Linked DNA regions of Danio rerio. The protein of the gene in region 3 interacts with the protein of the main gene of each other region in a pairwise test. Links are inferred from orthologs where the notes say so. Each region holds a gene or a part of one and is shown on either strand. Other genes may lie near its edges. The genes, in order: pitx1, arhgef3, trim23, atpaf2, cdr2a and gpank1.

What was found.
Region 1: the proteins of trim23 (region 3) and pitx1 interact in binary tests that used the Homo sapiens proteins (3 or more experiments, as listed by UniProt). The link is inferred for Danio rerio from reciprocal best matches to the Homo sapiens genes TRIM23 and PITX1.
Region 2: the proteins of trim23 (region 3) and arhgef3 interact in binary tests that used the Homo sapiens proteins (3 or more experiments, as listed by UniProt). The link is inferred for Danio rerio from reciprocal best matches to the Homo sapiens genes TRIM23 and ARHGEF3.
Region 4: the proteins of trim23 (region 3) and atpaf2 interact in binary tests that used the Homo sapiens proteins (3 or more experiments, as listed by UniProt). The two-hybrid records come from large-scale screens. The link is inferred for Danio rerio from reciprocal best matches to the Homo sapiens genes TRIM23 and ATPAF2.
Region 5: the proteins of trim23 (region 3) and cdr2a interact in binary tests that used the Homo sapiens proteins (3 or more experiments, as listed by UniProt). The two-hybrid records come from large-scale screens. The link is inferred for Danio rerio from reciprocal best matches to the Homo sapiens genes TRIM23 and CDR2.
Region 6: the proteins of trim23 (region 3) and gpank1 interact in binary tests that used the Homo sapiens proteins (3 or more experiments, as listed by UniProt). The link is inferred for Danio rerio from reciprocal best matches to the Homo sapiens genes TRIM23 and GPANK1.

Annotation. Positions count from the first base shown.
Region 1 is NC_133196.1:50,075,241-50,079,398, forward strand, and holds the start of pitx1 (pituitary homeobox 1), read left to right. Parts: upstream 1-1,358; 5' UTR 1,359-1,474; intron 1,475-4,158. UniProt on the Homo sapiens protein: Sequence-specific transcription factor that binds gene promoters and activates their transcription. May play a role in the development of anterior structures, and in particular, the brain and facies and in specifying the identity or structure of hindlimb.
Region 2 is NC_133197.1:41,151,534-41,155,702, forward strand, and holds the start of arhgef3 (rho guanine nucleotide exchange factor 3), read left to right. Parts: upstream 1-1,369; 5' UTR 1,370-1,533; coding exon 1,534-1,562; intron 1,563-4,169. Other genes in the region: serine hydrolase RBBP9, read right to left, coding at 691-786. UniProt on the Homo sapiens protein: Acts as a guanine nucleotide exchange factor (GEF) for RhoA and RhoB GTPases.
Region 3 is NC_133185.1:12,496,240-12,500,470, reverse strand, and holds the start of trim23 (E3 ubiquitin-protein ligase TRIM23), read left to right. Parts: upstream 1-1,431; 5' UTR 1,432-1,455; coding exon of another isoform or gene 1,456-1,542; intron 1,543-2,505; coding exon of another isoform or gene 2,506-2,668; intron 2,669-2,763; coding exon of another isoform or gene 2,764-2,885; intron 2,886-4,231.
Region 4 is NC_133187.1:20,034,788-20,039,003, reverse strand, and holds the start of atpaf2 (ATP synthase mitochondrial F1 complex assembly factor 2), read left to right. Parts: upstream 1-1,416; 5' UTR 1,417-1,660; coding exon 1,661-1,796; intron 1,797-1,876; coding exon 1,877-1,921; intron 1,922-2,032; coding exon 2,033-2,181; intron 2,182-4,122; coding exon 4,123-4,216. UniProt on the Homo sapiens protein: Plays a role in the assembly of the F1 component of the mitochondrial ATP synthase (ATPase).
Region 5 is NC_133178.1:62,630,171-62,633,625, forward strand, and holds part of cdr2a (cerebellar degeneration-related protein 2), read right to left. Parts: intron 3,230-3,455; coding exon 2,684-3,229; 3' UTR 1-2,683.
Region 6 is NC_133176.1:27,689,677-27,693,851, forward strand, and holds the start of gpank1 (G patch domain and ankyrin repeat-containing protein 1), read right to left. Parts: upstream 2,801-4,175; 5' UTR 2,742-2,800; exon of another isoform or gene 2,707-2,741; intron 2,224-2,706; 5' UTR 2,159-2,223; coding exon 1,966-2,158; intron 133-1,965; coding exon 1-132.

The DNA.
Region 1 (4,158 bases), on a different chromosome or scaffold from region 3:
TTCATGCTAAACTCAGTCTGGAGGTCAGACAATAATCTCAGCAAATAAACAGAGGAGCTCAGACTGAGCAGAGAAGCTGGAAACGATGGAAATAACACATTTACACAGAGCACATGCGAACCGAGCCACAGCCCGAACACAGCAGACCAGAGGATTAATAAGGCAGATTACAGATTATTAATAATGCAAAGATATGCAGCCATGTACAGTTTAAAATGAGTCGATTTTTAATAATAATTATTGTTATTCTTAAGTTAATATGAACTCTTATTAATAGATAATAAACGCTGTCTGTGTATTTAATGTTATGCATAATGATGAAATGCCAAAACATTCAAACATAAAATAATAAAACTGCACATGCTTTCTGGATCTGGCAATATCTCAATCAAATATACCTCATAATGAGACTCATGCACGCATGCAAGCGCAGATGGAGAGCTTTTAATTTATACTAATAAATAATATGCCATCATAAAATAGCAGAAATATAAAAGCACATTAGAGATAAATAATGAGCAGTTTACAATGCTTGAAGCTCTGGCAGTCATAAACCAACATGAGAAATCTGATAATTAATTTGGGGACTGTGAGATTGTAAACGGCTTCACACATTTATTCTGCAGCGCATGTGCGGGTTACTATGATCTGTTCGCCTATTTGTGCTTTAATTATTATAGCATGTAATTATAGAGAAACATGCAAACACAGAAGGCAAAATATATTGATGAACTAGCTCTAATCAGTTATAATTCATAATTTATTTCATTTAATAATTGTGTTTCTTCGTTGTAAACAGCTTTGCTGGTTTCCTCAGTTTTGATGTCGTGTAAGAGCGCTGTTTAACGCATTATATTGCTATAAACTAATTAATTACTGTTAGAATATTTATTATTTCATCATTTTAAACGCGTAAAGTCACTCCGATAAATGTCTGAAAATGCTGAATTATATTCCGACGTTGGGTCAAATACAGACAAACCCCAAAGTTGGGTTAAAATGTGTCATTTAAATGTCAGCTAGTTGAAATAAAATATTGACCATTGTTGGGTTTGTAAAAATTTTACCCAACATTGATTTAACACAAGACTGTATCGACAAATGAAATGTAAAGCGTGTGAAGGTTTTTCCTCAGTGTTTTAAATGCGTAATAAACGGATTTCAGTGGAGAACACGATAACAAAACGGATTTCTCTGAATCGCAGAGTCTAACAGAATCAAACAGTGATGAAGAGCTCTGCAGCGTCACCTCCATCATGCGTTTCTCACGGCAGATCGCGCACGCATGACGTCATGCGGGCGGCGGAGTGACGTCACGCGACCTACCTGATAGTGTCTGCGGTGGCGCATCTTCCCGCGCAGAAACTTTACGGTTGCTTACACGCGCGCATTTGAGGAACTATAGATAATAAATGCATGGAAACCATTTAACACACGAGAACAAGCAGCTCGCAGAATATCACAGAACTGACACGTGAGTCGCTTTACAGTGTGTGTGTGTGTGTGTGTGTGTGTGTGTGTGTGTGTGAGAGTGGTAGGCCTAACTGTGGCGTGAATATCATTGCATTGTGTATTATAGTTCGTGTTCTGCTATACATATATATATATATATATATATATATATATATATATATATATATATATATATATATATATATATATATATATAGCTGTATTTGAGCTGGATAGTGTCTGGTCATCCTGCTGTGCTTACAGATGCAGAGCAAACCTCAGTAAACACACATGGACTCACTGTACTGCAGTTGCGCACGGGCTGTGCAGACACACAAACACACACAATATTCCCTGAACTTTAGGTCTACATGTTACAAGACAAAATAGCCAGAGTTCATCACAACAGATTCCTGATTTGAGCAGGTTTGAGCATGTTTTGGACGCTGTGCGACGCATATTAATGCGGTTTATAAACGCTTCAACGCTTAATTCAGTAAATACTCAAATAAACAAGACCTGCGGTTAATTAATGCACACTATTCAGTCGTCATTAAATTAGCATGCAGCTTCCCCTCGTGAATGTTTAACAGTCCTATTATTGATAACAAATGTATTAATGCAATTTAATAATAACCCAAATAATTATAAAACAAAGTATACAGATGAGCTGTTCCATCGTCTGAAACGAAACCACATTAATTCTGAGCCTGCAAAACCCACAAGCTTCCAGGAAAATTACTACACAACATTGAATTATTTTGTTACTAAATTTGTATTCTTATTATTCTTCTTCTTATTATTATTATCTATTATCTGTTACTAATTAATCAACAATAAACTCTGTGTTTAGAATGTACCTCAATATAAGTGTAGCTCAGCATGCGACAAAGCCTGAAATATCTGAACTGACAATGAGGAAAACTGGAGTATTTTAAAGCCTTCAACAGACGGAGATTAATATTCAGCTCGATGTGTCGGAGTTGTCCACCGTGAACTCTTTAAATGTTTCTAAAAGGCGTCCTGTCAGTTTAATTTTCCTAAAATGTATGCAAATATATGCTCCTGACTCTGAAACATTCCCTAAGTTCTTCATTGAGTTCTTGTCGTATATCAGCGCAAGAGTTTCAGACCCGTCCACTGGATTCCGCTCTTCTGCCCTTTAATGCGTGTGTTTATGCTCAAGTCATTTTCCGCTCAGAAGTGACACAGCCGAGGCTATTAATGTGCAATTATGTGCTTCAACTAAGCTAGAATTATGATTATGGCAAATTCTTAAAAATAGGAGATACCGAAGACACAATATGAAAATTATTATCATTATTATTCATGTTTTAAATACTGCAATAACATTAAATAAAGCATTGTGTATGGGTGTGTGTGCATATATATATATATATATATATATATATATATATATATATATATATATATATATATATATATATATATATATGTATATATATATATATATATATATATATATATATATATATATATATATATATATATATATATATATATAAAATGTAAGTATTGCAAGCTAAAAAATCTTTACCTCTTTGTCAATTATGATGCTTTTAAAGCGATTATTTTGTAAATATAAAAATGTATATACAATACTAAATAATACTGGTGCGCGCAATATAATACTGTAATATTGCGATATTCAGAGTAGTCTAATTCAGAATAACTTGAATATCAATAAAACGACCAAAAACAATGTAATTAAATGCCACATTTGTGTAATGCTTAGGCTAACAAAAATAAATACATTTACAAAACGTGCATGTTATCAGCAGATTTTATTAGTAATAAAATATTAATAAATATTATTAATAAAAATATAATTTATTTTAATAAATAAAACCTGCACTGACTCAGTTTCAGTGAACTTCTATATTAAGCTGCTTTGACACAGTCTACATTGTTAAAGCGCTAAATCAACATGAGCTGAACTAAATGCCAGTGGAGGAGAACAGAAGCCAGACCGTTTTCATAAATAATACAATATAATATTTACAGAAAATACGGGCTGTTTCTTACACTGAGTGCATTCTCCGCAGAGCATGTATGTTCAGAAACGGCGGTGAACAAGGCTCTTGAGGTTATTTTCATGATGAACCCATGCTCGGATCTTCCCCGTCCTGCAGCGTTGTGTTCTGCCCATCCAGCAGGCGCCACCGACGGCAGAAAACCCCGCAGAGAACAATCAGACGGGAAAGCGAGATGTTTTCTGACTGACAATGAAGCTGTCACAATAAGCCCATATTATATATCCCATTCCTGGCGACTTCACCTCATGTTTCCAAATATAAGTGCATTGGGCGGCGGAAGCCGATCATTTTAATATTTAACACTATATAAGTCTACATTAGTGCTAAGAAGTCTGTCTCTGTTCTTGAACCTCGGTGTGTATTTTATTTATCGAACACATATTATGAATTTTTTAAAGAAGAAAAATAGGAAACTAAACAAAAACTCGATGCACAGACCCGGTCAAATAAAACAAAACAATGAACAGATGAGCGCCGACATTTACATGACTGCTATTTAATGCCATGCATGTGAAAACAGTGTCTATCGCGAGCACAATAACCACAATATAGTAAATAAAATAATAAAGTAACAGGCCTTTAAATAAATAAAAATAATAAATAAAAGAGTAAATGAACGAATGATGTTTATGAAACTGTTTAAACTTTA
Region 2 (4,169 bases), on a different chromosome or scaffold from region 3:
CAAGCCTGAAGGACTCAATTAGTTTGATCAGGTGTGTTTAATTAGGGTTGGAACTAAACTGGCCAGACTTGCGGCCCTCCAGGAACTGAGTTTGACACCTGTGCTTTAAAGGATGTGATAAATTTACAAGATCTCACTCTGTATTCGTATTGTTAGATGAGTAACCGCATCAGTGCGAGTTGAGACAGCTGTTTATTCCTGTTTATAGTTTTATGTTCAATCAATCAATAAAAACATGCAGCACTTGTGTTATTTTACATTTTGCAAAGTTTCAATAAACTGATCGATTTTTAAATATGATCAGGCTTCAGATGAACTGGGTCAGGTCAGGTGGAAACTGTCTGTGTAGATGTTATAATAGAGGACACAGAGGTAGAGTTGGTTTATATTCGCACATTGGCTCATTTAGCAGTCTCTATATTGTTTATCATGCTACTGTGAATATTCGATCAGTGTTAGCACGCAATGATGACTTCAACACAACATCAACACTGTTTATTTGACTGTCATCAATGCTGTACTTTAATAATCAATAGCTGCTAATATGATTTCACTATTTAGAGTTTGCCAATAATACTTTTATGAAATTGTATTATTAAGGAGAAAGTCTGAATGTGCGAATAAAAGCTTCACCTCGTTATAGATGACACGTGTCTGTGTTATTGCATTCTCTCGGTGACCTGACCGTACCTCATTTATTCGTTTGTTGGCCCATCCGTACCAGTTGCTACGCTCAACATCTCCTGCGCCGTTCCCAGGCACAATCACAACTCTCTTCAGAGGCATTTTAACAGAAAAATCCAGCTCCTTACTCAAAAACTCATACACGGAAACACCCCAGACGGCATGTGGAGCGATATTCCGCAGCGCAGCGCCTCCTGGAGGTCAGTCCGCCATCTTGCTCTGAGTTTTAACTTCTCCGACTTTTTGTCAACTGCAAACTACGAGCTGAAGTTATTTTAAATAAGGCGTTTACATTGAACAGACAGCATCCGGGTCTGCTTTATACATTAATCATCGTTAAATGCGAGGTCAGATGGGGAAATGGCTGAACACGTGATCTCTCGCTTTTTTTTTTTTTTGTAAAATATTTTCACAATTGCTAATAAAATTCATAACTTTACTGCATCTTATGAAAAGAATGCATTTAATAAAAGGTCTGATATACCTTTAGATAATATCAGCAACATAAATCCTGTGACGCTGTAAGCATCTGTATTGGCATTTTCATGCATGAATATTGAGCGGGGATTTTCCATGTGAGCTGCTGTGGGTTTCAGTAGGACAGGACTGCACTCACCCACTGCCGCCCCGGGTGATCTGTCATCGGCAAACCTCTCCCATCCGACCGAGAGGAGGAGTGTGTCGTGTCACAACACTGCGAGCGGCTCATAGGAGAGCTCTGCTTATTGTTTGTGTCTGTTTAAACCCATTCTCTAAATGATTTCAGGACTAATGTATCTATGAAACTGCTGCATATTACTGATCGATGACCAATGGTGGATCTCTGCTGTCTGGATATCAACAGTTTCAATGAGTGCTGGAGGAGATGAAGCATCAGGGTGAGTACTGTTACTGTTTATTTCCATATGAAGCGAATATACAGTGCTCAACATGTGAAGTCAATCAGAACAAGTTCTTCAAATGGGTGTTGAATAGTTCTCTCCACTTTATTTTGGTCCACTTCAACTGTTGGCTGTTTAAGCATGATCATCATGTCAACATGAAGAGCCTCAAAACCTTAGTGTCCTCTAATTAGAAGAGCTGGTCAGTGTTTATCCAGTCAACAAAAGACGCTCTTACATTCCCATTTAATCCAACATTTGGGATTTTTTAATGTCTTCAACATTACATAAATTATTTTTGTCTTTGAAAATCTGAATAAAACCATTACAGACCATCAGATTTTACCCTCAAACCCACATGATTTACTGATTTCTATATTGTGTTTGGGACACATTTCTTCAGGACTCATTGGTTTTTAACATGCCACCATTAAGAAGGGAAAATTAGTGACTATTTGAGATCTAAATGATCATTTCAGTGTCCATTAAAGCAGTACTGTACTGAACAAAAGCTGCATTGCTTTACTCAATGTTTAAAGTTAAGTTTTGCTTGTAAACTCTTTACATCGGCTGAATTTAAACAAACAAATCACATGTAGTAATCTTCAACCTAATTTGTTTAAATTCAGCTTAGGGCGACGCGATGGGTTGCACAATCCCCCTCACAGCAAGAAGGTTGCTGGTTCGAGTCTCAGCTAGGTCAGTTTGTGGAGTTTGCATGTTCTCCCCGTGTTGGTGTGGGTTTCCTTCGGGTGCTCCGGTTTCCCCCACAGTCCAAACACATGCACTATAGGGGAACTGATCAACTACACTGGCCGTAGTGTATAAGTGTGTGTATGGGGGTTTCCCACTGATGGGTTGCAGTTGGAAGGGCATCCACTATGTAAAACATACTAGATAAGTTGGCGGTTCATTCCACTGTGGCCCCAGATTAATAAAGGGAGTAAAAAGAAAATGAATTAATAAAATTCAGCTTATAGAATTTGCAATGAACTTTTTTTCGCTGGTCTATATTGTTGTTGTTGTTGTTGTTGGTTATTGTCAATGTTAGTGAAAACTGGAAGCATTGTATTGTATAATTATGGGAACATTATTTTAAATGTGCTTTCAATGGTGTAAAGATCGCATATAGTAAAGTTCAGATACGTTTGAAGAACTTGTAAATAAAATGAAACACTTTTGAATGGAAATGAACTGTTTAGAGAACATTTTACAATGCAATAATACAGATCACACCATTTAATCTTAATATGTACTATGCACACACTTGATACATCTTCATAGAGCTGAGGTCAGAATTATTCACCCCCTGCTTATTTTATTCCTCAATTTCTGTGTAACGGAGAGCAGATTTCTCCAGCACATGTCTAATCATAACAGTGTTAATAACTTATCTCTAATAACTGATTTATTTCCTCTTTGTCATGATGACAGTAAATAATATTAGACTAGATATTCTTCAAGACACTTCTATACAGCTTAAAGTGACATGTAAAGGCTTCACTAGGGTAATTAGGGTAACTAGGCAGGTTAGGGTAATTAGGCAAGTTATTGTATAACGATGGTTTGTTCTGTAGACTATCCAAAACAAATATAGCTTAAAGGGGCGAATAATATTGAGCTTAAACTATTAAAAACTGCTTTTATTCTAGCCCAAATAAAACAAATGTGCATGTGGCATTAAGTGTAGAGCTGGTTCTCTTGTGTTGTTGAGTGCTGGAGGTCTGCTCTGCTCTGCTCATTTCTGGCTCCTGCTCTTGTTTTCAGTGTATAGCAGTAGTTGGTTTGAGTTGTGTATGATTAGACATGTGCGAGTCTGTCATGACAGCTGTGGCCAGCACGGGTAGGCCTATACTTTTATTCTCTGTATATTTAGATACTGCAGCAGATGTCTCAGTGAACTGGTGGGGTTCAGACGTCACTCATCTAGACAGATATGAAGTTGTAAGCCAGGTGGACAGATGAACCATCAGGAGACAGATCGCTCACCTGTCCGGGGTTTTACAGGTGTTGTGTTAGACCTCTTAAAGCTAGGTTTCTGCCAGTATCAGATCTTCATGTTGCAATTCATTTCTTAAACTTTTATGCAGTAGTGTCACAATATTGAGCCAAGCTGGTTATTTTAACCCATTAATAATAATAAAATAGTGTAATGCTTTATTGTGTACACTCCAACAATGTCTATTGCTGCATGTTTAAACTACTTACACTACTGTTCTAGACAACTTAATGGTTGTTCAATCCACTTAAATTTGTAAACATATATATATATATAAATATGCAGCTGAAGTCAGAATTATTCGCCCCCTTCAAATTACTTTCTTCTTGTTTAAATATTCGCCAGATGATGTTGAACAGATTGAGGAAATGTTCACAGTGTGTCTGATAATGTTTGTTCTTCTGGAGAAAGTCTGATTTGTTTTATTTGGGCTAGAACAGTGGTTCTCAAACTTTTTTCACCAAGTACCACCTTAGAAAAAAATCGTCTCTCCAAGTACCACCTTACGACGCAATTTTTTAACCAGTATTAAAAAATAGCGTCATAGGCCTAGTTAAGCAGCTACAGGTGTGCACAGTTTAAAACGATGCAGATTACTTCCTATT
Region 3 (4,231 bases):
TCAAAGTCACACTTCAAAAGAAACCCTAAACCACCAAGTTTTTCAAAAATAAGGTTTGGGATTATACACCATATTTCATTTTTGTGCTTGATATAATGTTTAATCCAATTCAACTTAAAAAAATGTATTGGAAGTATCAAAATCAAGCAAATTCAAACCTCCTTGATTATATGAATTACATAAAATATTTCTATTTAAATAATGAGGTTTGTTTTTCCATATAAAATTAAACATCCCTAAATAATTTTTTTTAAATAACGGATTTTGGTACATCCAATACTTTAGCAAGATACACCGATTGTGATAAACTTTCAGTTTTAGACAAAAAGAGTTTAAGTGATAAATCCCTCATGAGAGAGGAACAGTCTGCGCAAATGGAGCGCAGAGTGGGTGTCATCGACTACAGCTCTCGTCTGATTGGCTGAAAGGTACGAGTTGCCCTGCCTCTGGCAGGACAGTCTCAAAAATACACACACAAGTATCCAGGGGGAGTCGTACGTGAAAGAGGATTTGCACATTCTCATTCAGGATGAACTCGCAAGTTTTAAACATTCAAAACTTTTTGTACACTCTTATACATTTGCAAATTGTGTTTTGCATTTGTGAAACGTATTTTATGAAAATGCATTTTTATTTTGTGCACGTGAATTTTTTTTGTGAATATAAATAAATATTTTACGCAAGTGAATTTGGTTTTATGCACGTGAATTTGGCTACGCATGTGTACATCATGTCTTTTGCGTGAATTTCTTTTGAGACTTATCTGATTCCATATTAATCCATCAACATATCACTAAAATGCAGTATTTAAATCTCGTAGTTAAATAGAAAACTGAGGCGTATAAGTGCAAAAAGGTCCACTTTTTGAGAAAAAAAGAACCACCCCTTTTACCAGGCTGGCTACAGGCCTAAATAGTCCCCAGAAAATTACAGTTGGTCAGATGTTCTCAAATTTTGTTGACTGAAAATTGGTGTTATTCCACCAAATATTGATTTTTCAACTTTCTAAAGCTGTTGATGTTTCCTCCAAGTTTAATGTGTATTTTTTGTCATTTAGACACATTTTAAATAATAAAAAAATAACAAAAATGCAATGTTTTGAAACATGTTTATTTTCACTTTAAGACAACACTATACAACGTTTTAACTTCATACGAGTCAGTTAAGCAATATTTGGTAAATTAACCCTAATTTTCATATGTATTTATTTCGGGCTGTAACATTTGATGAGCGCGTACTCGCACAGGAAACAGCTGACAGACTGATCCACTGTTATACATGGGTGACAGAGTTACACGATTGGTATAATTTAATTGAGACATAATACAAACATTCGCGATACAGCTTAAAAATATAATTTTAAAGTAATTTTTATTACCACATGACAGCCTAAAATAGAGCTAAATTACTATGCCATGTTCACACTAAAGTGTCATTAGATGGTTCAGTCCGAGGATGGCCGCTGCTGTCGGTGTAAATAAACAGGCGTCGATGGAATCGTGTGTGAGACACGGCCGAGGAACTGCCGCTAATGCGGTGAAGGTATGATGCATATTAAATAAATAACAACTATACTAGATGTTTAGCTAACAACGATCACGTAAGAGACGTTATTTTTAACCTGTCTAGGTGGAGTTCAGTGAGATTCTGCAGGGCGTTAGCAGGCTAATGATAGCATCATTCAAAACTGTCACAGCGTTTCTTACATTAAATAAGATGTCACACACCTATTTTTAAAACGCCCGACACTGTAAAAAACAAGTCGTAAGTATGAAAAAATGTGTTGTATTGATAACTCTGCCGTTATTAAATGAGTTGTGCAGAATGGGTTAGCCGGCTTGGCTAAATGATCAACTGGTCCATAGAAAGAGTGTGAGCTTCATATCTTCAACACTTTTATCATTTAACGTCAACTAGAAAGCAATTAGGAGATGTAGTTATAAGTTATGGCTGAACATAAGGCAATAGGTCTAAATGTTGCAGAATTAATGACATACGTCATGCTAGTTCCCCCAAGTTTATTATAACATTCTTTCGATATTAAATTAAATGTTAGCTTTTATGAACGTACGTATGCGTTTTGTATAATATAACAATTGTTATTATATATTATAATATATAATATAAACGTTTTAGAATTTAATTTTATTCTTTGTTTTTGCTGAAATATTTTTTCAAATAACAAATAAATTGTAATTAACAAAAGCTTAATTGGCTTTTTGAATGAGAAGTTAATAATTTAAAATGAAGGATGTGATGATATTCTTCATTATTGTTATGTGCATATACTAGTGATTCAGCATGTTAAAAATGTGGGATGGGACTTGATTTTGTCAGTCTCAAACTAATTGAAGGATTGGTTGTTTGTTATTTTCTATTTGTGGACATCATGTAAGTTAAAGGCCTGTCTTTTTATTAAAATAAAATTCACTCAGAAATGTCTACACAAATAATAATCTGCAACATTTCCTGTAAGAAATACATGTTTTTTTTGTTGACTTAAAGGTGTTGGAGTGTGGTGTGTGTGAGGATGTGTTTTCACTACAAGGTGATAAGGTACCACGACTGCTGCTGTGTGGACACACGGTGTGTCACGACTGCTTGACACGACTGCCTCTCCACGGCAGGGCAGTACGCTGCCCCTTTGATAGACAGGTCACTGAGCTGGGTGAGTTTGCCTTTCTGTTCACTATAATAACAATGTAACTCAATATTTAAAAATTTCCATACTGGGAAGAATCATATTCTTGTTTTGCTCTCCAGGAGACTCAGGTGTGTGGGGCCTGAAGAAGAACTTTGCCTTGCTAGAACTGCTTGAACGGCTACAGAATGGGGCAACCAATCAGTCAGGCATGTCGGAGGATGCGCTTCGTGAGATGGGAGAGGTTAGAAGTGTACATTTTTCAAATTTACAGTTTTTTTTTATATTAGCAATATAGCTACAAACAAAAAATGAAGTATAAACATGATCTAATGTGCTGCATTTCAGATTCCATACCATCTGTCCTAAATGGATCTCTAAATGAGTTTAAAAACAAAATCTTGGCAGTGATTATGGGGATAGAATCCTCTTTGTCCAACTTGTTCCTCCTTACACTATGTGGTTTTTAATCATAAGTTTATTTTAAAAATGGCATTGTTTTATGCTTTTCTGTAGCTGCACAAGCACAAACAAGGCAAAAAATGTGTTTTAAGTGCATTTGCCATATTTTGACTTTTTTCCACCACTGTGCTTTGGTATAAATAGCCGCTCTTCTCTCTTATGCATAAGCAGAGGCGGACTGGTCATAGGGAGCACCGGGACATTTCCTGGTGACCTGACAGTCAATCTACCTACCACTGTGACTCTGGCCTGCCGTCTTTCAATTATTGATCTCTTATACCCCCTCACCCCTGCTATTCACTTACTGATCGCTTTCCAACCGGGAAATGGGGTGGGCTTCGCAGCATCAAAGGCTAAATATACAGCGCGAGCGGTCAGGAGCGGAATTAAAAACTGGAGGGAGTGGGACTAAAAATTCAGTTCCACGCAGATCTCTACCGTAGTTTAGAAAACTCAAAAGTTTTAAGACTGACAAAATTTTCTGCTCTACTGTTCCTACTGTATATGTACGTTTTGTTTTTTACATTTTGTTTTTAAAACAATAGTATCTCCAGCAGAAAATATCTACAAACATGCCTTTTCAAGTTACCACAAGAAATCTTTGTTTTTGAAACTAATGAAGATAGCAGAAAATATTATTTAATAATAAAATTTATTGAGGCGTCCTTTTTGTGAGCCCATTAAATATATTTAAAATACTGATTTATTTTATCATGCAAACAGCAGCATACAAAACATAAAAGAGCAACTTCACGCACCTGCATTGTTTCTAACAGCATAGAAAAAAAAAAGAATAAACTAAATAAACAAATAAACAAGCCTGCCATAGATATCTTTCACCTAAATGACAAATTTAGATTACAAAACGAAAACACTGATTGTATCCTTTTTAAAAACTGGCATAGGCTGTTTTTTCCAATGTTTTTTTCTTCCGTCAAACAAAAATATCAGACTATTAAATCGAATGCTCCACTGAAAATATGCATTTAATTAATGCTTCGTTGTATATTATGTCACAAAACCCTTTTGACCATTTTAATAAAAGTCATTAGTTTAAAGATTGTCAAAATTACTTAGTTCCCTATTTCACTTGCAAACAGCATTAGCACTGGTTTGTGTCAACTTGTT
Region 4 (4,216 bases), on a different chromosome or scaffold from region 3:
TAGATAAACTATAGACTTATGTTTCAATTTATATCTCTTATTTATTCATATATTGGTGAAATCTGTGATATTTCAAAAGAACAATATAATCCTTTTTAGATTCTTTAGTCTATTTCACTAATATATAGGCCAATATATATATATATATATATATATATATATATATATATATATATATATATATATATATATATATATATTCATTGTGGAATTAGTTAATGTTGATAATGAAATGTTTTTATCATGCTGAAGAACAGAGGACAATCAAACAAATCAGAAACACAACCAAAAGAGGGCGCTATGCTGTTCCTTAGATCAGTTCTGGTGCATTACCCTACTGCTGCCCCATCAACTCATGTGTGTCCCTGGAGGGTTTTTGTATACTTGAAATTAATGATTTTTATTTTATGTATTATTTTTCTTTTTATTTGATTTATTTATTTCTCTCTCTTTCTCTAGAATATATAAAATAAATTAAATAAGCAGAACAAACTGATAATAAACATGAAGATTTTAAAACAAGATATTATTTAATTCTTTTTGCATTTGTCTTGTACATAGTAGATAAATAATTAGGTAATAACTAAGTGTAATGTAAATGTCTGCTCTATAAATTGTGTAATTTTTTCCATGTTTTAACAAACCAACAAATTAATGAAAGAAAGAAAGAAAAAAACATATAAGATAGAGATAATAAAACTGAAGCAAAAGAAAGGTGAATAAACCAGTTTATAGTAGCAACATATAAATATTCACTAATATATTCATTTAAATATTCCAAAAAATGTATTTAAGAATAACATTTTTAACAAATATTTTAAGTTATTTAAAGCTATGTTAATTTTTAATATTTAGAGCAGGACTTTCCCGCCCAACTTTTAGATGCCACAAACATTTTAATATCATTGCCCCCACATTAAAACATAAACATTTTTGTTAAAAAAAATTAAGGAAGTTACCTGAAGTTAATGTTTTGAAAACTGAAATTTTTTATTATTATATTCTTATTTGTTTTATTTTATTTTGATATATAATTTATTGTTTTATTTTATTTAAATAAAATATAATAATGTATTGTATGCTATTAAATATTTAATAATCGTTTAATTATTATGCTGTTTTATCAATTTGTTTCTGTTTCTCTTTTATTTTGTATTATAATGTGTGCTTATTATTTAAAAACTATATAGAATTATTTTAATCTTTTTAATTATTCAATTGCTATTTTTAATTATTAAAATCAAAATATTTTAATAGGTATATCACTCTCTTTTGTCCCTGGTAACCCATTCTGAAAGTTTGGCGCTAAATGAATGTTCGAAATGTTGGACTTTTCTCATAGATATTTATATAGCTATGGACTTTTATTATGAATTATCCTCTATGCTTTTTCCTGTTTAGGTCATCGTCAGTCCACTTTACGGCACGCTGTTTTCACTTTGCTGCATGCCTTTAAATACCTTCTAGTGTATTTGCTTGAATAATTGAGTTTATCTCAGATATACTCATTTCTTGTAATTTATACGATTAAAACATGAAAAATGCATTGTCAAATTTAATATAACACCATATCCGGCTTTTTAACCTTGACTGAATGGCTTATCACGCCTAAACTGTGGCATCAATACAAATACAAATTTACACACATAACGTTTAAAATATGCTACGAAATATATGTCGGTATCACACAAAGTTTGGCCAGGCAATTATTTGGCCGTTTTCATTTTCTTACGTGAAGCATGTTCCCAGTTTATCAACACAGCTACAAAAGGCAAAATATAGCAGTGCTACAGCAGGTAAGATATAAAAAGAAAAAAATAACTTAAAATGATAAACAAATATATTAATATCTTTGTACTTGCATTGTGTTTTGCAGAGAGGAAAAAGTTCTACGAGACTGTATCTATAACTCAAGGTGAAGGTGAGCATCATTCAGTACTGATGGCCATAACAGCACCTTAAAAGAAACATGTTTTCAATGATGAAGATCGAGGGTTTGCTCATATGAAAACACAGATTTTCTTGTTTATAGGTGGCTTGTTTGAAATAAACCTTGATAAGAGAAAGCTGAAGACCCCAAGTGGAAAACTATTCACAGTTCCCAATGAAGCTCTTGCCATTGCTGTTGCAAATGAGTGGGACGTTCAAAAGGACACATTGAAGTTTTACACTATGCACTTGGTAGGATATTATTTTTAATTTATATTATATTATTATTATTATACTATATTTTGGTTTCCCAAGTACTACTAGTATATTTGAAAGTTTTATTCTACAACTGTCTACAGAGTACATTCAAATGTATCTATAATACATACATAGTAGCATGGAACACATATTTTTATACACTCTTCAGAACTGAAACTTACAGTATTACAAGTCTACAAGACTAGTACCTTTATTTATACCCAAAATCTGTACTTTTTTGGTGTTTTTTCTTTTTAATTTTCTGCTGCAGACGATTCCATTCAAGAACCCCCTAAAAAGTACAGATTTTAGGTATAAATAAAACTGAAAGCTTAGTTTTTTTTTAAATTCTATTTTAATCATTTAAAAATTCTATTCAGTTAAAGGGGTAGTTCAGCCAAAAATTATAATTTGGTCAACAACAATACTCTGGGACTTTCTTTCATCTTTGGAACACAGATTAAGATATTTTAGATGGAATCTGAGAGCTCACTCACCCTTCATATAGACAGCAATGTACTTTTGTGCACACTTAAAGAAAAAATACTTACTTCATTCAGCGGTTTATCACCTCATTAGTAGGCCCACACGGAATATGCGTGTACAGAAATCTGCAGATTTCCGCAGATCTTTAGCCCATCATTCGGTGTATTTACTGTATTCACTTGTTTAATTGTGTGTGAATTTATATTTATTTAGTTTTTTTTTTTTTATTAATTTCACTAATATTATTGTGTTATAATAATAGTACTATTAAAATGTTCATATGATTTATTAACAATACAGTTAGTAATGTAATATTTTCTGTCTTTTTGTAGGTATATGATGTATTGCTTTCTTTACCAAATAGGTGGATGCAATTGGATTTGCACTGTAAACATTAAATAAAATTAAAAAATGTGTTGTTTTTTATTTAATATATTAATGCTGTAGTTATGATACTCCTAAAATCAATCTCTGCAGAAATTGCAAAAAATGTCTGCATATTGTGTCTTTTCCTATTCATTCATCTATGTTTCCATCCACCTATTTTTATGGTAATTTTGCAATATGCGCATAGAAAACCGGTTGATGAAAACGCCAAGATGCACATTTCATTTTGAAAAAGCTTAATGTGACTTTTCATTTTCATAAGGTTCCTTTTACAGCATCGATGTTTTACACTATCGATGCATTGATGACAAAACATTCAGTTAAATAGATACAAGCATTCATTTAGTTGTTCAACCATAAAACAAGATGAAAGATTGTGTAACCGCTAGCGCCATCAGGATCAGCAGGCGAGCGCAGAAACTCCTATACTGGGGTGAAATTAATTGTTATATTTTAAAGATATGACGGGGGAATAGAATTTAACGCAGTGCTTTTTGTCTGAGACTCATATATCTATATCTATCAGGCAGTGAAGGTCACTGATTAAAAAACAAACAAAAAAACTGACCTCAAACATGGCAACTTTATAATGGAAAGACGGAGGCCCTGTTAGGCTGAAATTAAAAGATTGTGTGCATATACCCCATTCTAAATAGTTATCGGTTATTGTTGTCGGTCAAAAATTCCAAATCGGTTCCACCCTATTAATAACATAATTTTCATTTTGGGGTGAACTGACCTTTTATGTAGTTAAAGATATTTGCATTTGCTCCTAGTTTTTTTTATTTATTTATCTATTTTTTATATGTTATTATTTGCATGTGTCTTTTTTCTTCACCTGGTTGTCATTTTAGATGAGAATTGGTTCTCTTAATTGATTTACCTGGTTAAATAAAGATATTTATTATTAAATACTAATGGATAATGTATCTAAAACATTGTCACAAGTACATATAAAATCAGTGTGTGTATATTCTGATAGTACATTCATTCCCAGTATTCCCAACATTCATAATGTTAAATGAATAGCAGAATCTAATAGACTGATTTCTGTCCCTACAGACCACCCTTTGTAACACTGCTCTTGATAATCCAACACAAAGGACAAAAGAACAGATGATCTCTGCCGCTCTGAAGTTTTTAGAAACAGACACTA
Region 5 (3,455 bases), on a different chromosome or scaffold from region 3:
ATAAATAAATAAAAACGTAACTCAAAAATCCAAAAACTGACCACAGGTCTGTCTAAAGTGCATAGTATCACAGTGGTGTTTACATGAACGCCAAAACAAAAAGTGCTTGAGACTATTAGCTAGAGTGAGTGTGTTTGCGAACGCAGAGCCACGATTTGATCCGAACAAACTATTTACACAGATTTTCAAGCATATCGTTTACATTGACAGGAGCTGATTCCGCTAGCATATCAAAGCACTGAGGTAAAGAAGCAGCAAAACAGCAAACAGTATTGCTCGAATACAAGAGATCACCGTTAGTAACGTCATCGAAATCACATGCAGCATTTTCTATTATAAGTTAATAAGTATTGCATGTGAAATGTCTAGACACTTAAAATCTAAGGCTACATACACGGTCCTACTGAATTCCATTTTGTTTATATACGTATATATTTCTAATGTTTATCAAATGACTCTCATAAAAGAATATCTGGTTCATATTCCGTTATAAAAAGCTTGTCAATTTTTTTTTATTACTATTATTCCTGTAACAGTGTTTTCTCGCACAATCTTAGATTTTAAATTAGCGCATTAAATACTTCTCAGATATTTTTTTTTTTTACAAATTTAATTTGTGCATTAATGTAATGGCATTTAGATTATTATTTTTTTAAATATGCAAATAGAATTGGGGATATAAAGCTGTTGCAAAAAATTGGAGAAACCCATTCTAAGATTTTCTAAATGCATTATTCTCGATTGAATCAACTTTGAGCTTAGTGTTTAACAGCAGATGACGCTCTAGGCTAGTTTTTAACATCAGATAGGCTAGTTTTTAACATTAGCAATAGCAATTTAGGCATTTTTATAACAATAGTTTGAACTTTAGGTTAGTTTTTAGTATTAGATGGTGCTCTAGTCTTGTTTAACAGAAGATCGGCTAGTTTTTAACATTAGACTGCGATTTAGGCTAGTTGTTATCAATAGAGGGGGCTTTAGGCTGGATTTTAACATTTAATGGCAATTTAAGCTAGCTTTTAACAGCAGCTAGGCTAGTTTTAAAAAATAGCAATTTATGCTAGTTTTTAACAATAGATGGGACTCTAAGCTAGTTTTTTAACATTAGATGGTACTCTAGGCTAGTGTTTAATCATTAGATGGCACTCTAGGCTAGTTTTTAAAAAACATGGTGCTCTATGCTAGTTTTTAATCATTAGGTGGTGCTCTAGGCTAATTTTTAACACTAGATGGCACTCTAGGCTAGTTTTTTAATGTTAGATTAACAGTAGAAGGCACTCTAGACTAATTTTTTTTAAACAGTAGATGGCACTCTAGGCAATTTGTTTTACAGCAGACTGCGATCTAGGCTAGTTTTTAACATTAGATAGGCTAGTTTTAACATTAGCAATGGCAACTTAGGCTATTTTTTTAACAATAGATTGGACTCTAGGCTTGTTTAACGGCAGATGGCTAGTTTTTGACATTAGACAGCGATTTAGGCTAGTTGTAAACAATAGAAGGGGCTTTAGGCTAATTCTTAACATAAGATGGCGATTTAGGCTAGTTTTTAACAGCATTTGCTAGTTTTTAACATTAAATGGCAATTTTGGCTATAGCAGATAGGCTAGTTTGTAAAATTAGACAGCGATTTAGGCTAGTTTTTAACAATAGATGGGAAATGTAGGCTAATTTTTAACATTAGAGGGTGCTCTAGGCTTTTCAAAATTAGTCCAGAATGCCGTGTGTTGCTATAGCTAGCCTGTCTGCTGCTAAATACTAGCCTAGAGTGCCATCTGCTGTTGAAAACTAAGCTCAGAGCCGATTCAAGATAGAATAGAAATGCACTTCGCAATCGTAAAATCCATTCCTCCAAATGATTGCCACAGCACTAGGGGCATTCGTCATGAAGATAACGTGTAATTTCAAACACAACAACAAAAACGTTAAATTTTCCTAAAAAACTGGCTCAAATTTACAATGTCAATTGCTTTTTTGTTGTTTTTGTTGTATTTTTCGATGTAAAACCTCATTTTAGCAGCTTGTGTGAGGTTCACCAATATTATGGTATATCATGTACATCAAGTTAGTTCCATAACTGTGTTATGTAGTTGTTAGTACTAATAACAATAGTCTTCCTCCAAACCTGATGTATCTCAGGCGTCTGGTATGGCTGATTCACACAGCTTGTGTGTGTCGTTCATTAGAGTAAGACGTATAAAAGTAGAAAAACCCCATTCAGACCATTCAGGTTCTGGATGTGGACGGTTTGGTGTTGTATACTGTGTATAGGCACAGCTGTTATAGTGCAATAGACACACACACAAACACACTGTTAAATCACATTAGCAAGTGCAAAGTCACTACACTCAACTTAAAGGGACAGATCACCCAAAAACAATGACCATTTACTCATAATTTACTCAAGTGCTTCTTCTGTTGAACGCAAAACAAGAAAAATGTTGGGAAAAAGCAGCCATTGGCATCCATAGTAGGAACAAACAAATACTATGGATGTCAATGGATGTTTTCCCAGCATTCTTCAAGATATCCTCTTTTCTGTTCAGCACTCTTCAGTTCATCTTCCTTAGTGTTCAACAGAGGAAAGAAACCCAAACCGTTTTGCAACAAGCAAATGATGAGTAAATGGTGACAGAATTTCATCAGAATTTTGGGTGAACTCCCCCTTTAAAACAGCCACACCTTACTGGGCCTGCAAAGCCCTGTTCTCACTCAGGTCCTCTTTGGTCTTCTGAATGCAGGTGAAGATCTCTTTGAACAGGGCTTTGTACTCGGGCTGATGGAGCTGGTCGGAGAGGCAGGCGGTGTCTGTGGCGGAGCAGCTCTGGGATTTGGGCGTCTGGACGGCTTTATGGCTGAGGCTGTTGGCCCCGTGCTGGCAGCGGCGCAGCAGCTCCTCGTATTTGAGCTGCAGGGCGCTGTACTGAGCGTCCACCTCATTGAGCAGAGAGATGCCGCGCTGCTTGACGGCCTGAGCTCTGCGAATGCAGGAGCGCTCGTGTCCACGCCGGATCTCCTCCGCTCGAGCTCCTCTGACGTAACTATCACTGCTGCAGCGGCAGCGCCCCTGAGGAAACTCCGCCTCCTCCTCACATTCAGGCTCCACCCCCAGCCGCTCCTCTGCACTGAAGAAAACACTGTCAGGCAGCAGCGTGTCGGTCAGTCTGGAGCTGGAAGACTCGGAGCGCCACAGCAGACGCAGCTCCTCCACCTCGGCCTCCAGCTCCGCCTGTCAAAAGTGAAACCGCATGTCACAATGTGTGTCACATGTTACAAACACTAAAACCCAACCTGAAACTGTTATATAATGTCGAGCTTGATGAAAACACTCGCATTCTGCCTTTCAGCTCATAAAAATACTTTGGTCATTTGCAGAAAACATCATTAGCCTATGCAACAACCACATGTTTTTGTTTCATTTCATTTCAAATTCAACATCACTGAGTGCAAACAAA
Region 6 (4,175 bases), on a different chromosome or scaffold from region 3:
AGAGGTCTTTCAGGGCCCGAATGTTGCCTTCCTGGGCGCACTGCAGGAGTTTGTGTCCATCACGCTCCGTGCAAACTGGCTGCACAGTGGAAGCTTCTAGCCTTCTTGCTTCTCTTCTTCTTCGATTGGGTTCTTGTGTCAAAAGATATTGGAAGATCATGATAAATCTGTATAACAATGAGTGTTTTAAACGTCATTTTTTTAAACTAAACTTTAAGGAAAATAAATGACAGAGATTAAATGTATCAAAGAGGAAAAACACCAATTGTTAATCTACACTTACAGTTGAAGTCAGAATTATTAGCCCCCTTTAAATTTATTTTTCTTTTTTAAATATTTCCCAAATGATGTTTAACAGAGCAAGGAAATTTTCACAGTATGTCTGATGATGTTTTTTTTCTTTTCAGAGGATGTCTTATTTGTTTTATTTTAGCTAGAATAAAAGCAGTTTTAATAAAAATAAAGAAATAAATAATCATTTTAAGGACAAACTTATTAGCCCCTTTAAGCAAATTTTTTTGATAGTCTACAGAACAAACCATCGTTATACAATAACTTGCCTATTTACCCTAACCTGTAACCTAAGATAATTAACCTAGCTAAGTCTTTAAATGTCAGTTTAAGCTGTCTTGAAAATGTCTAGTAAAATATTATTTACTGTCATTATGGCAAATATAAAAAAACAGTTATTAGAGATGAGTTATAAAAACTATTATGTTTAGACGTGTTGAAAAAATCTTCTTTCGGTTTAACAGAAACTGTGAAAACAATAAACAGGGGGGCTAATTGTATATGTACTACACAAACTACAATTTTATATAGATTTTGCATGTTCTGTCAAATTTGTTTTGATGTAAAATTTTTATTAATCATGATACATTTGAAAAGCGTATGTTTTTTCGCTGTTCCTCTCTATACACACCAGGCAATTTTTTATAAACACTGCAATTCTGAGTGATCTACTCTCAGAGGACAGGGTATTTTTTTTAGTTTTTCTGATTCTTTTATTTGAGTTGACCATTATCAATTGAATAAATGTAACAATATGCTGTAGCAGTTGAAAATTAGATTTTTGTTTAACCAATTTACACATTGATGTAAAAGACACAACATGTAAGATTTTTTCTTAAATATATACAAAAACCACTAGAACAATGTTATGTATTAATTTTCCAGACTTATGTACTAACAATATCCCTAACATTTAGAAGTATGTTAAAGTCCAGAGAAATAAGCATTTTTAACTAGTGACACAGAACATGTCCTGTGTGGCCATGCTAATGGTTTCACACACCCTTAGTTTCCAGTTTGGTTTCACCAAGCACCAAAGATGTTTTAATATGGTGTGTGTTTTATTACACTGCACAATGCAGCTTTAGAACAGAATCTTAAAATGTTTTTAAGAAAAAAAAAAAAACATAAAAATTTTAATTTGAAAAAACAGCAATGTTTTTTATACCCACATGATCATGACCAGTAGAACCAGAAGCAGTCGACTCTGGAATAATAAAAGTTAACTTCGTTTGTGCCAAGTCATTTTACTTCAACGGCTTTTACTCTTAAGCCCTTAATGTTTTGGACAACAAACTTTTTTTAGTGGTCTAAGGCAGTGTATTAAAACTGTTTTCTATTGCCCACAAGCATTTTGCATGCTGTTTATGTGCCCCAGGAAGGGCCCCTCGTGTTCTAACCGGCTGCTGCTTTTCACGTTTTTGACCTTTGAATACTTTCTCTCACATGATTTCCACAGAAGTCCTGTAGAATGTAATAAAGACAAAAACTGTTTCCACACTCAGTCACAGCGTCATCAGTTGCGAATGCACACACTTGTGGCAAAATGAAATACTGTGTCATACAAAAAATCCAGTTAATTTAAGTTGTTGTGACTAAGAAAATTTTAAAAGACACTAAATTAAAATACATCAGTGCATAATCAAATATCAGATAGTAATTTGACAATTCTACCTGTTCGTCTTTTTGCTCTTCTACTTGCTGCTGCTTCTCCATCTCTTGGCCTTTCTCTATCTCTCTCTTGTAAGAGGCTTTGGTAAAAGTCTCTGGCCTCAACCCCAGAAATTGTTTGCTTGTCTTCTTTCTTTTTTTCTATCCAGAGCGTCTCCTCTTGTTTGGCTCTGGTGAAGTAGACTGGGTTGTTCATCTTTAACACTTTGCTATTAAATAGACAAATGAAAAATCCTACGACTGCAGCTCATGCCCAAGATACTAAAATCAAGAGGAGACAAAAAGAGGTCATTTTCATATCAGTTAAAAAGTAACCATCCATTAATTTACAGGGCAGTCTTTTTACGTTACTTAGATTCTGTCAATTGTGTCTTGAACGTGTATCCTAACATTTGTTTCTGTAATGTAATGATAACTGCCATCAAAGCTTATGTTTGTAGTTGCGTAATAAATGTTTAGTCGAACTATTAATGAGTCTGATCATTTTGTCAAAAAAAATGTCAACAGCTCTTACACAGTTAACGTTGTAACTATGAAATTCTGGTTTTCGGCTAAATGAATTTCTAGTCAATTAGGATAGTAAATGTCTAGGATTATGGTGTTACTGTAATCGAGATATGATGCATCCCACTTTACGCTGATACAATTATTAATACAGCCTTAAATCTATATAGTTACAACAATTATATCAAAGAAAAGATAAACACGTCCAAATTAAACCCAAGGTAATGAACACACACTTACGTCCAGTAAACCCAAGGTAATGAACACACACTTACGTCCAGTAAACACAACGCTCTCATTCTTGTGTCGATTTTTGACTATTACTTTGTAGCAGTGCCACCAACTGGTCTGGAGTGTGAAACTTTGCTTCTCTTGAAATCTCTTGATTTCTAAATTTGCATTGAAAACCTAATGTCTTCTTAAAATTAGGATTTACTGATATTTTATATAATTACCCTGCTGAAGAATCCAGCTTAGACCAGCCTATGATGGTTGGCTGGTTTTAGTTGGTCAACCAGCCTGGTTTTAGAAACAAGCCAAGCAAGACGTCTTGGGAGCCCAGCCAAAACCAGCTATGCCCAGCTTAAACCAGGCTGGTCAAGTTGGTTTTAGCTGGTCATTTTCCAGCCTGACCCACTAAGACCAGGCTAGAAATGCCTGGAAACCAGCCTGAAAATGGCCAAAACCCCTCCTAAAACCAGGCTGGTCAACCAGTTTAAACCGGCCAACATGCTAAAGTTCCCTACAATAAGGTTTGTTAACTAAAATAATTTAACAACATTTGTTAAAATCAACTGTGAACACGCATTTATTAATCTTAATATCAATTTTTACTAGAAACATTTGAAAAACCAAAGATGTAATCAGTGCATTAGTTAAAACAAAGAAACACTGATGCGAGCATTATGAATTTTTATTGAAATTATTAGTGTCAAAATGTATTCAATGCTGGAACTCTGGAACTGCTGTTTGACAAAAATAATGTATTTGAAAAAGTGACCCATGAACAAAATGATACAAAAAAGATTGCTTGTACAAAAGTACTTTTGGTTAAATTTAGTAATTTCCTCCCATTATGCCATTATTGAAACCACAAGTATTGATTGTGAGAGTTGGTAATTTTCTGAAAAATATACCACTTAAAAAGTGATATGCAAAGATATTTTCAGAAAATGTTGGCTCAGCTGTACTGACATAATTAAACTGCTTTTCTCCAAATAAACACCAGGACTGAAATAAACGATTGTTCTAAACTTCACCATCAAACAGAGAGGGTAGAAAACTTTAGACAGTAATGAACATGGGAACAGTCACAGACATCAGCCTGAGCGAGAGGTGATGATGCTCTCTCTCCTCTGTCCTTTAACTAACACCTACAAAGACACTTAATGATGTAAAAATCTGCCAGAAACAATAATCAGAACTGTTTGACTTGCATTTGGCCTAAATCACCAACGAGCCTTGATAATCCTTTTGAAAAAAAAAAAAAAAGTATGCAGTATTCTGCTGGAAGCTTCTGAATCTGTGAATGTGGGGGGTATGGTTACTTTAAGCAATTATAAGAAACATTTGAAGATAAACATGCAAATAAAATGCAAACCAATAGAAGTGACCCCAATCGCTTCATAAAACATTACATTTTGGCCCAACAGTTTGATTAAGTACTTGATTTGAATAGCCTGACTCATTTAATACCTTATTAGGTCCAC